Schizosaccharomyces pombe: one gene and its partner. The protein of the gene in region 1 interacts with the protein of each later gene in a pairwise test. Each region holds a gene or a part of one and is shown on either strand. Other genes may lie near its edges. The genes, in order: spo13 and spo7.

Region 1 (3,212 bases):
AAATTATTTAGTCTTTATATTTTTTCTTTCTAAGATTTGGCTTTTTGCTAATGAAGCAGGTATTTAGTTCCTTGGGCTGACCAAGGCATTTTAATGCTCAACGCTAGTTTAACTGTAAGAGCCCATCAAGCTGCTTCTCATTCTGGCAAGGGTTGGGAAACTTTCACTTCTGCTGTCCTGCAAGTTGCGTTGAATCGGAATCGCAAGGGTCTTGTAATTTTAGCATGGGGAACTCCAGCAGCTAAGCGACTTCAAGGTCTTCCTTTGAAAGCACACTATGTACTTAGAAGTGTCCATCCTAGCCCTCTCTCTGCACATCGTGGCTTTTTTGAATGCCACCATTTCAAGAAAACCAATGAGTGGCTCGAAGAGCAGTATGGACCTGAAAAATGCATCAATTGGAGCGCTGTTTCTGAACAAAAAGCAAAAATAAAGTCTAGCGAGTTGGAATCCTCTTCAACTGAGTAGAAAAAGTCAGAAAATAATTGCTCGTTTACTGGATGCTAATAGGTCTAATCAAGCTTTTTATTTTCTTTTGTCATGCTTGCTTTATTATACCACTTGCATGCTTATCTTTATTCTACCTACAATTGGACTTGCTTAATGTGTGTTATTTTTCTATGTCTTTCTTTTCGCAGAGGATTTATTTTTTTTTTGTCTTAACATTTAAATCATTCATTTTAAAGTTTAATATTTATGTCAAATCCATCGTAAACGGCACATTTATTAAAGACTTAATGTAATCAGTGGTAATTTGATTCGTTAGAATAACTCAGTAATTTTCTGGCTTCGATTGAAGTTCGGACAGCAGTTTGGATGCTTCTTAGTTTCCCAATACGTCCTTTTTCTTTTGCCCTGAGATAGTCCAATTCTCTTTTTAATACTTCTGTATCCTGCCTTGCCTTGGCCACCATTTCGTTTGCTTCAGTGAACAGTGAAACCGATAAATCTTCCATTTCTTTCTGACTTTGCTCAAGCAATCCTTCCAACTCTTCTCTTCGTTGAACCTCTCTCGAAAGTTGTTCCTTCAAATGGGTTATTGCTAAAGTATTGGCATTGTTTAATTGTTTATTCGTGCTTTCTTTTAAAGCATTTTCATTCGAATTTTCCTTGTTAGAGATAGAGCTAAAAAGCTTTGAAATTTCTACATGTTAGAAAAAATTGTTTTATATTGTATTGTCATGTTGTCCCTTACGAGAATTGCTCATCATTGTTTCAATTTTTTTTCCTTTCCTATAAAATACTAATTGCTAACTTTTTTTTCAAAAGTACAGTGGTTTAAAGTTGTTTGCTTAGAGAAAATGTCATTTGTTGACACAGTACATATGGCTGTTAACCGTAATATAAATGACAACAAACAGGAGAAAGACTTCGTTAATGTTGAAGAATCATCCGTTTATTATTTTTATCAGTTTGCTTTGTTTCTTTTTTATTTATATTTTTTTGCGTGAATTTTATGAGCAATACATTCAATATACAATTTATGGAACATTGAATCAATTTCACTGAAGAAATAAATTTATTTTATCAATTTCATACAAAAATTTTTTTTACCCAATACAGGAAAGAATTAAGTGAGCCTCATTTCGTTTTTTACAACAAAAATTATCGAACAATAAACGAAAGAAACAAAATGTAACAATTTCTCGGTCCTTGATTTCAAATCAAGATACTTGAGCTATAAAGATGCTTTGAATTTATTATCATATTCTATATGAGCTTCAAGCATATACTTACAATTACAGAGTGCAATTCCTCATTTCATTTTCATGTCCACTGCTATTGTAACCTGCCAAAGTGTAAACAAAACATTCATTCGGGTAGGGTAGGGTTAAAATTGTAAACGAAACACTAATCTAACTAACGAGAGCTTAAAAAAATTGCTGCGAACAATAATAAATAGAAGAGGGTATAAAAACTTACAAGACAATTTTGAACCCTTGAATGCTATAAGTAACGAAAAGAAATAATGGAGGTAAAAATTAATATTTCAAAGGAAATTCGGAAATAACCTTTTCGACGGTCAACATTTAGATTGAGGAGAAGGTTTTTGACATTCACTATCGATGCCATTTCAACTGGTAAGCGCTAAAAACAAGGGTTTACGCAAAATTCTTTTTGTACCTGTGATAAATATTGTATTTCTATTGTAATAGCCAATTTTTTCATCCTATGTATCATGGAAATGTCCGGCGTAATAAACTTACAACCGCGCTGTTCCTAATTTTGTTTCATTGCTACAAAAATTAATCAAAGAAAAAAAATAAACATCCCCAAGCTTCGTAAATTTAGATTTATCGTTTCATTTGCTTGTACCAACAAGCATTCTGGCATTTGCATTATTCATTATGAAATTAATAGTGTATGCAGTGCGAATAACTAAGATAAAAAAAATTAAGAAGAAAAAAAATTAAATTAAATGATCAATTTGTAAGTTTTTCTGTTTTTTGCCATGTACAATCGCATATATTGTTTGTGCACCTTTTTTAAGTTCCTCAACTCTCATATTATTGCGTAGTACAATATTCATCGTTAAAAGAAATTCTCATGATGCGTTACCCTTCCTAGACTATTTCTTTTGTAGCAGCAGCATAAATTTACTCGCTACCAACTACTTTGTATAAAAAGCTTCTTTCTTCCAGTCGTTCTTTCTTTTCAGAAGTTCATAGAAGTAAATGGCTGGAAATAAAAGAAAGAGGAGCAATGCCTCCGAAGGCTCGGATTCCCAAGGGAATGAGAGAATTTCTTCTTTGAGTGCTAACGAGGCAACTCAAGATTTCCCTCGAGGTGGGGCGTCTTCATTGACTCCTTTAGAGTATAAAGAAGCTGTTTTAGAGGCTAAGAAGGACTTTATGGAGTCCGCTTCTGGTACCGCTGAATTGAGTAAAAAAACTCGTCCTAAGAAAAAGGGTAGTAAAAAATCTTCCAAATCCGAATTGGACAACGAAGAAAATTTGAAGGTTCATATTCAAAGCTTAAGATATAAAAATATCACACCCGGCTCTTTAATTTTAGGTCAAATTGCTCAAATAAATACGTTGGACTTGGCCGTCTCATTACCAAACTGTTTGACAGGTTATGTACCTATCACAAATATCTCCGATAAGCTTTCTGATCGTCTGGATAGTATTGACAATCATGCAGAAGATAATGCAGCAACTGAAGAGGAAGACGGTCTTAATCAAATACCGGATTTGATGGATTTGTACAAA
Region 2 (7,449 bases), on another chromosome or scaffold:
TTAAACAATTAGTTACTTATAGTCGTCTTTTTTTTTGAAAAAAATAATTAAAAAATCTCGTGAAAGAGTTTTTAAAGATTTATGCTAATTGTGAATTAAATTATGGGCAGTTCAGGTAATTCTTGCTTAAACTCAGCTACCCTTCTGTTAAAATGAACATCAGGAACTTTAAATAACCGCTATTTACATTATATACCTTTTTTAAGAGCGGCAGATCGAATAAGGTAATTAGGAATTTTCATAAATTAGTATTATAGAAAATATTTACATGTTGGTCGGGTAATTTTTGAGAAAACTCAAACAAGTGGGAGCGTAAATCTATTGATTAGCACACAAAGTCCAGATCCACACTTTTTAAACTATCAACAAAAAATGTATCCTGCGACAACTTTGTGTATAACTTGAGTCTAAAACAAATTTGGATAGCTCACAGATAACCTTTTGCTAGAAGACTTTAAATTTATTTAAATCCTTAAATTAAAACAAACTGGTAATAAATAAAACAGAAAAAAATTTATGTACATTCAACTTTCTATTCTTCGTCCTCTGAACCGATAGATTCGCTACCGTCCTCGCTGTCGCTGTTTTCGACATCCTCGTCGTTATCAGAGAATAAAGGTTCTTTAACATCAATATCATCCATATCATCAACATTTTCAAGAGATGATGCCTCATTCAAATATGAAACAGATGGATTTTTAGGGACTGGTGCAGCTTTTTCTTCAGCAAGACTGGAGTCCATTAGTCCATGCTTTGTCGCGTAATCATTTACTGCTCTAAAGACACTTTGATCAACCATATCGAATGAATATATTGTACCACCAGCTTCAAAATTAACTGTAAATGTTCGTTGCAAAACATTACTATAGGAAAAATGCTGGATGCTAGCTAGTTCAATGAAAAGTATAGGTTTACGGAAGCCCCATAGTATGCCAGTACGCAGAAAAAATAAATGCCCTATTTGATTAGCAATTTTGACACAGAATTCATCCTTTGCATACCATCTTTAGCTTTATAGTTTGCTTCAACCCCATATGTCGTGCCATTGTCCCCCGTTTGCGGGTTTGGACAAACAAATTCTTCGACAGAAGGAGACAAAGTACTAGTGCCAATAAACTCAAAGTAATCGCGAAAAATATCCCATGAGTTCGTGCAGTGGGTGAAGGATCGTAAACCTTCAACGAGGTTGAGCTTTTTCAAAGGATACGGTGCCGTAAAAAAGACAGGTTCTTTTACATTATCACTTGAAACAATATTTTCTGCCGACGATTCACTTTTAAGGATGATCACAAAGTTGTTTTGAACATTAGCTTTCCTTGGACATGGGACATGGATTGCACAACGAATTTCATTCCAGGGAAGCCAAAATTCAATTAAATTGGGTTCGCCTGGTAATGTTACTGCTATTCCATTTTCATAAATGTAGACGTCTAGCTTTTTTCGCATAGGTGCCTGAAACGATAGATTAAGTACTCCATAGACCAATTGACCTAACTCATGTTGAACACGATCCTTTCGTTTTAAACTTCCAGCCTCCTTCACTTGGCCTGATTCGTTTTCCTTTTGCAATGTATTGATGTACTTGCAAATTCGATGCACTAGAGGCTGTATACTTTTTGTTTTCCCTAATTTCATTAGACTAAGGAAAAAAGCATGTACTCAAACCTTACCATATTGTTTGATTATATCTTTTGCTAACTCAGAATCTTTGGCAAATGCCTTTTCTATTTCATCGTTCACGTTGGACTCCATTAGAGATGGCTGCCGGCTAGAATTTATTGAGTCTTAAACAAGGGCTTCGACAGCACACCACACCTCAGCTAACAGTAACAAATGTAATAGCAACTATTTCCATTATCATGCAAATGATTTCGATCCAATAAAAATTTTATCCCAAGTGGTTACGTTCAAACTTCGGTTCGCTGTTGACTTTATGTTAGCAACAAATTTTTATTTTATGGATCAATATGAATATGCTTAATTTATAATTGCTCAATTTTACTCAACAAAGGTAGTCATTTTACATAAATGAGATAAAAACTCATTCTATTATCGTATCAGTTACTTTCGTATGAAAAGTCCAAAAAAGTTGGGAACATTTTGTGAAACGATATCGATTTTCCCTTTGATTCTTTTTGCGATCTATAGATAAATTTCAGCTGTAGAACTGATTAGCTTTCTTCAGCATTGGGAAGGTCAGATTGTTGCTCCTATAATCGGATATGGTTTCCCTTAAAGTTGTTATTGTTTCGATTTTGTCAAAGAAATTATTAAATGATCCTAAAATTCGTTTTATTGGTTTATGTTGTTCCCGATGTAATCAACGTGTGTTGACATTTACAAACGTAAACAAATAGTTTGTTCGCTAGGTCTAATGCAATGAGGTGTTTTAAGACATAAGCTATTTGTTTTGCCTATTTTTCCTTTACCCTCAACCTCCCTCAAAACTGACGGTTTGTATAAATATTTAAGGAAACAATTTTGATAATTGTCCTTACAAAACTTACATAATTATCCTAATTGCTTTCGCGATCAACCGATTGAAAGAATTCCTATATTCATATTGTATTTTTTAAGCGTTCTTCCGACATAACTATTAATTTCTTTTAATCAATTGTATAATTATCCACGAAAAAGGTAGAATGGATTTTAGAATAACAGAAGGATCTTCCCCAACAAGCTTAAGTGTTTCGGAAAAAATTGCAAAGTTGGAATCGTGCAATGATAGTCGCATCACTTGTCGTCCTGTGAGAGAATCAAAGCCTACCTATACTTCCGGCCAAAAGCATTCAGCGTTGCTTTCGAAGTTGAAGCGGTCTAAAGTTACAACCGATTTTTGCAAACTTGAGGAATCAAAGGGAATAATTTGTCAAGAAAATTTGCATACGGAAGGCGCTAAAAGCAAAACGGAAAATATTTCTGGAGAAGACAAATCTTCTCAGAGAAGGACACGCTTGAAGCAGATTCAGGAATTTATAAGTCATCGTCGCTCTTTTCTCAATTCCAATGCCAATTCTGTGGAGTCTGAGAAAATCTTGGCTGAAAACAATCATATGTTTAACGTTAAAAGCAAGTTAAGCAACAAAGAATCGTTTATTAAAACCCGGCGTCCTCGAACAAATGGTGAACTTTCTGATTTAAGCCTTCAGCCTAAACGAATATTTAGTGAACCCGTAAACTCTCATCCTTCTCAATCCATGTTCGGCAACGGCGTACGAGCTTCCTCTGGTTCTTACTCATTAAAACGTGATTTGAAAGATTATGAAGAAGAACTTCCATCTTCTAAAAAGCGCCAAAGAACGCCGCCTCCGATAGTCGTTACCAATTTTCCTCAGGAAATATTTCCTTCAAAAAAAATTAGTTTATCTGCTAAGAGGAGGATTCAGGGGAAGTATTCCGGGGAAAATGTTAGAGCAAGGATCGAGCTAGCTAGGGAGAGAAATAGAAAAAGGGACTATGTTTCAAATTTATCTAAAGGGCATACTACAAATGCTTTAGAAGAGAATCCCTTTAATTTAGGTCCTAATTATCGGGCTTCCACCAGAAAATGTAACAGAATAAAGGAAGCTATAAACCTATTTGCTGCTAAAAATGGTTCAATGGAAGTACCACCAAAAGTGTCAGTCGGTGATTCAGTTCTGACAACTTCTCAGAAGTTTTTGCAAGTGATAAGGGAAAAGACTGCGCTACTAATGAACCAAGATTCTAATTCAGTACAACCACAAGCATTGGCTGCAGCAGAGTCTCCTACAACAAAGGCTCCTACAACAAAGGCACCGACATCTGAGGCTCCTCCCAAGGGTCATGTTAAACAACTAGCCAAACAACTAGGAAATATTTACATGCCACAATCGATAAACAATGTTGAACCGACATCCCATTCCAGCATATCTAAGGTAGTTAATCCATCAGAGAAAGTTATTTCAAAAATTGAGAGAGCGTGTCTAGCTGGAAATGGTAATGTACACCCGAGCATAAAAATGGAAAAAAATTTAGAGTTGAACCCTCATCCAAGAACTTTGAACGCTACTGAACACAAAATCAATAGTCGTATACAGGTATCGAAACTTAACACTAAAAATGAGCTTGCTAATGCTGATCCCAAAATGTATTTACTTGAAAATCTTTCTGACCGCCTATATTTTTGCAAATTAGCAAAACTTTTGCTCAGGAAATACCCTTTAGACATCGCGGAACACCAATTTGCGTTAGTTTATTCAAGATTCCAAAGAATACCACTAAAGCAGATTTCTTGCTTAAAACAATCGTTGGTTGCGTATTATTCAGTGCTTTCGGAGGTTGGTATTACAAACGAAATAATGTTGCGTGAAAATCGGTTTTCTTCACCCAAAACCCCCGAAGGTCTAGTTTCAATTTCAAAATTACTATTGGATGACCGAGAGCATCTTAGTCATGATGAACGTAGCTATATTCAACAATTGCAAAGTCAGATTAAGTCTCAGTCAGTTCACCATGAAAACGCAGCTGAAGAAATTCGCAAGATGCGCAATTTACGCAATTCACGCATAAATAGTCAGCAGGTTGGCGAAAAAGTTTTTGTGAATCCAGATGTCAAAACTATGGATATTCAGGAAACGTTCCTACAAGATTATGAAGATGAAACGTTTGCTAACGAAGGTCTGAGCGCTTCAAAGTTTAAAGAAGAGTTTTTGCTTATAAGTGATAGCAAGAGTGATCTCAATTCCGAAGAAATAGCAACTCCCAATTCTTTGGAATTTAAAAACAATCCAAGAATTAAAGTTCCACGATCACTTTTAACTATTTTGAATTTACACGACCGTTCTCAACTGAAATTGTTCGAGGTATGTCACAATTCAGAGTTTAAGGACCCCATTAATTTATCCAATTGCTTACGGAATTTGCTAGAGAAGCAGCTATTGTCGTACAATTTTACAGATTGGTTTGCTAGTTTGGGATCTGAATATGAAAATGTGTATGTAAAATTCATATCACACTATGACTTTTCAAGTTTAAATGTTTACGCTTCCTTTCAAAAATTATGCTGTGATCTTTACTATGGCTCGGATGATTACATACACTCTCCTATTTTGCAAGTCTTCGCATCTTGTTGGCTTAAGCAAAATAGTAATTATGGGTTTTTAAATGAAGACATTATTGTTAAAATAGTATTGATTTTAATTGATTTACATAAATCAACCTATTCTAAAAAGCTCAATTCTTATGTCGTTCCGATGGAAACTTTTGTGAAATATGCTCTCGAGAAACTTCGTCCTCTCATATCTCCAGATTCAGTTTGTATTTTGTCGAAGGAGGACAAAAAGCATTGGCTCAAATATAAGAAGAACCGATCAACGTTTGCCAAATTGCTTTTCTCAACGTGGAGCAATTTACCAAGCGATATCGGTTTCATACTTGAATGCATGCTAAAAGAATATTATGATACGTTTCTGAAGTCTCCATTTGCAGTACCAAATGCCGTGCAAGCACAGTTGCACAACCAAGTAAGAGGTGATTTGACTCCCAAAAGGAATCGATCATCTCTGATATCTGAATTAATGAAAAGTTCAAAATTACTAAAGCAGGAGAGTTCTGGAAACAAAAACAGCACGAGTCTTGAAAGTGATGCTTTTAAGGAATCTTCGTTTGTTTTGAATGAAGAGAATGGAGGAATTTACGCAGGAAAGGAGATTGATCTTCCTGAACCATCAGTTATAGATGGTAGACCACATTTTTCGGTGTTTAATTACACTCATCATATGCAAGAAGAAAAGACTCATAACAGGTTACCATGGCACCGACGAGGCATGATTTCATATAAGAAAATGGTTTTAAGCAAAAACAATAGATGGGTAGCAGGTTATTGGAAGAAAAAGTACTGTATTGTCGATAGTGGAAAACTAATCTTTTATAAGTCAGATCATTTAGATCCAAATGCTTGCTCAAATGTTAGCCCCATCCATAGAGAATTTGGCTTGCAATCTTGCTTGGCATCTCCCAATTTACCTCCATCAATTAATTCTAATCGCAATAATGTCTTTTATCTAAATATTCCAGGAAATGAGTGCTATCTTTTTGAAGCGCCCAGCGTATTAGCGATGAACGAATGGATTCATTCTTTAAATTTTAATGCAGCCATGATTACTTGCCCTCCTCTACCAGAAAATATTACAAACACTGAATATGGTTGGGGGTACATTTTAACAAGAGCTGAGAAAAAGGCTTATTATACTGCTGCTGATGGAACCAAGACCTTTGTCGGTGACCTGGCTCAATTAACACGGTGGAGTCCAATGGACATTCAAGGATTACAAGACATTCCTCGTCCACTGCGTGATAAGGTTCATATTTTACGAGATTGTGTTCCTTCTTTACTGGAAACCTGCCTTCTTTTCCAGTCTTTGCCTGAAAAAATGGAGAAATGTTTTGCCGCCGGATCTAAAAATTACCTCAAAGCAATGGATAATTGGAATAGAAAGATGAAGTTTCTATATGAACGATCAATGATGTACAAAGAGTACCAGCGAGTTTTGGAATGCGAGTACGAATATCGGAAATCCCATGATTTCTACCCAACTTTATCTCCTGTAAGATATCCTTATGATTTTAAAGGATTATAAAATTAAATTTCATTCAAAGTAGTTAAACGAATAAATAAACTTGAGTGATGAAAAGACATTAGGCCTCCGATTGAGAGAATGCTACTTAGATATCTTTTTTTTAGCTTCTGAAGAAGAGGGTTAATAGTTGTCGAGAGTTCCAAATAAAGTATTTTGATTTTATTTAGATTTGACAAATCTTTTGTCATTTTATTATTTTTTTATGCTTAAACTTCTGATAACATCCAGTTATAGAATATTTCATTATTGCAATATATGCTTCGATGGGATTATTTCAAATGCCTTAATACGCGCTCGTTGAAACTGAATAACTACGTTGGTTACCGCTCATTTTAGCTTTAAACTTACAATAGTAACTTTACTTAGATACTTAATCAAACAGCTTGCGAGAACTTGGATACATGCTATAGCTACCAGAATGCTAAAGTCCAAGTTTCACCTATTTTGAAATAAAACAATATGAGTAGAGGTGTATGCAATTAATAAGGAATAAAGCAATTATAGAAACAGAAAGAAATTGCAGTACTTTTATATTTCACCTTCGTTGATTTATAATACTGTTTTAAGCATTAATTTCTGATTAATTTTTTCTCGCTTAGATAAAACTCTACATAATCCTTCTTTGCAAAGTCACGTCGCAATGGAGGGCGCTAACGGTTAACATAACCTGAGCACATATCGCGTCTTTTGTGCAGGCGTTTAACAATTGCCCGATATTTAAAGAATCACTATTGATAAAACGTACTCATAATTATTCTTCTACCTTTAAATTATTATTGACTTTGTATGATTCAACGAATTATAGTAGAGTTACTTTCCACCTACGTCGCATCAAGGGTATAAAACGACT

What was found.
Region 2: the proteins of spo13 (region 1) and spo7 interact in a two-hybrid assay, tested with the Schizosaccharomyces pombe proteins (one study listed by BioGRID).

What each region holds. Positions count from the first base shown.
Region 1 is NC_003421.2:603,662-606,873, forward strand, and holds spo13 (protein Spo13), read right to left. Parts: upstream 1,295-3,212; 5' UTR 1,212-1,294; coding exon 1,196-1,211; exon of another isoform or gene 1,145-1,195; coding exon 744-1,144; 3' UTR 705-743; downstream 1-704. Other genes in the region: uracil DNA N-glycosylase Ung1, read left to right, coding at 60-468; U3 snoRNP-associated protein Rrp5, read left to right, coding at 2,676-3,212.
Region 2 is NC_003424.3:3,245,956-3,253,404, forward strand, and holds spo7 (ArfGEF Spo7), read left to right. Parts: upstream 1-1,803; 5' UTR 1,804-2,642; coding exon 2,643-6,599; 3' UTR 6,600-6,926; downstream 6,927-7,449. Other genes in the region: histone H3.3 H4 heterotetramer chaperone Rtt106, read right to left, coding at 533-957, 1,002-1,625, 1,671-1,752. UniProt on the Schizosaccharomyces pombe protein: Appears to have a role in sporulation.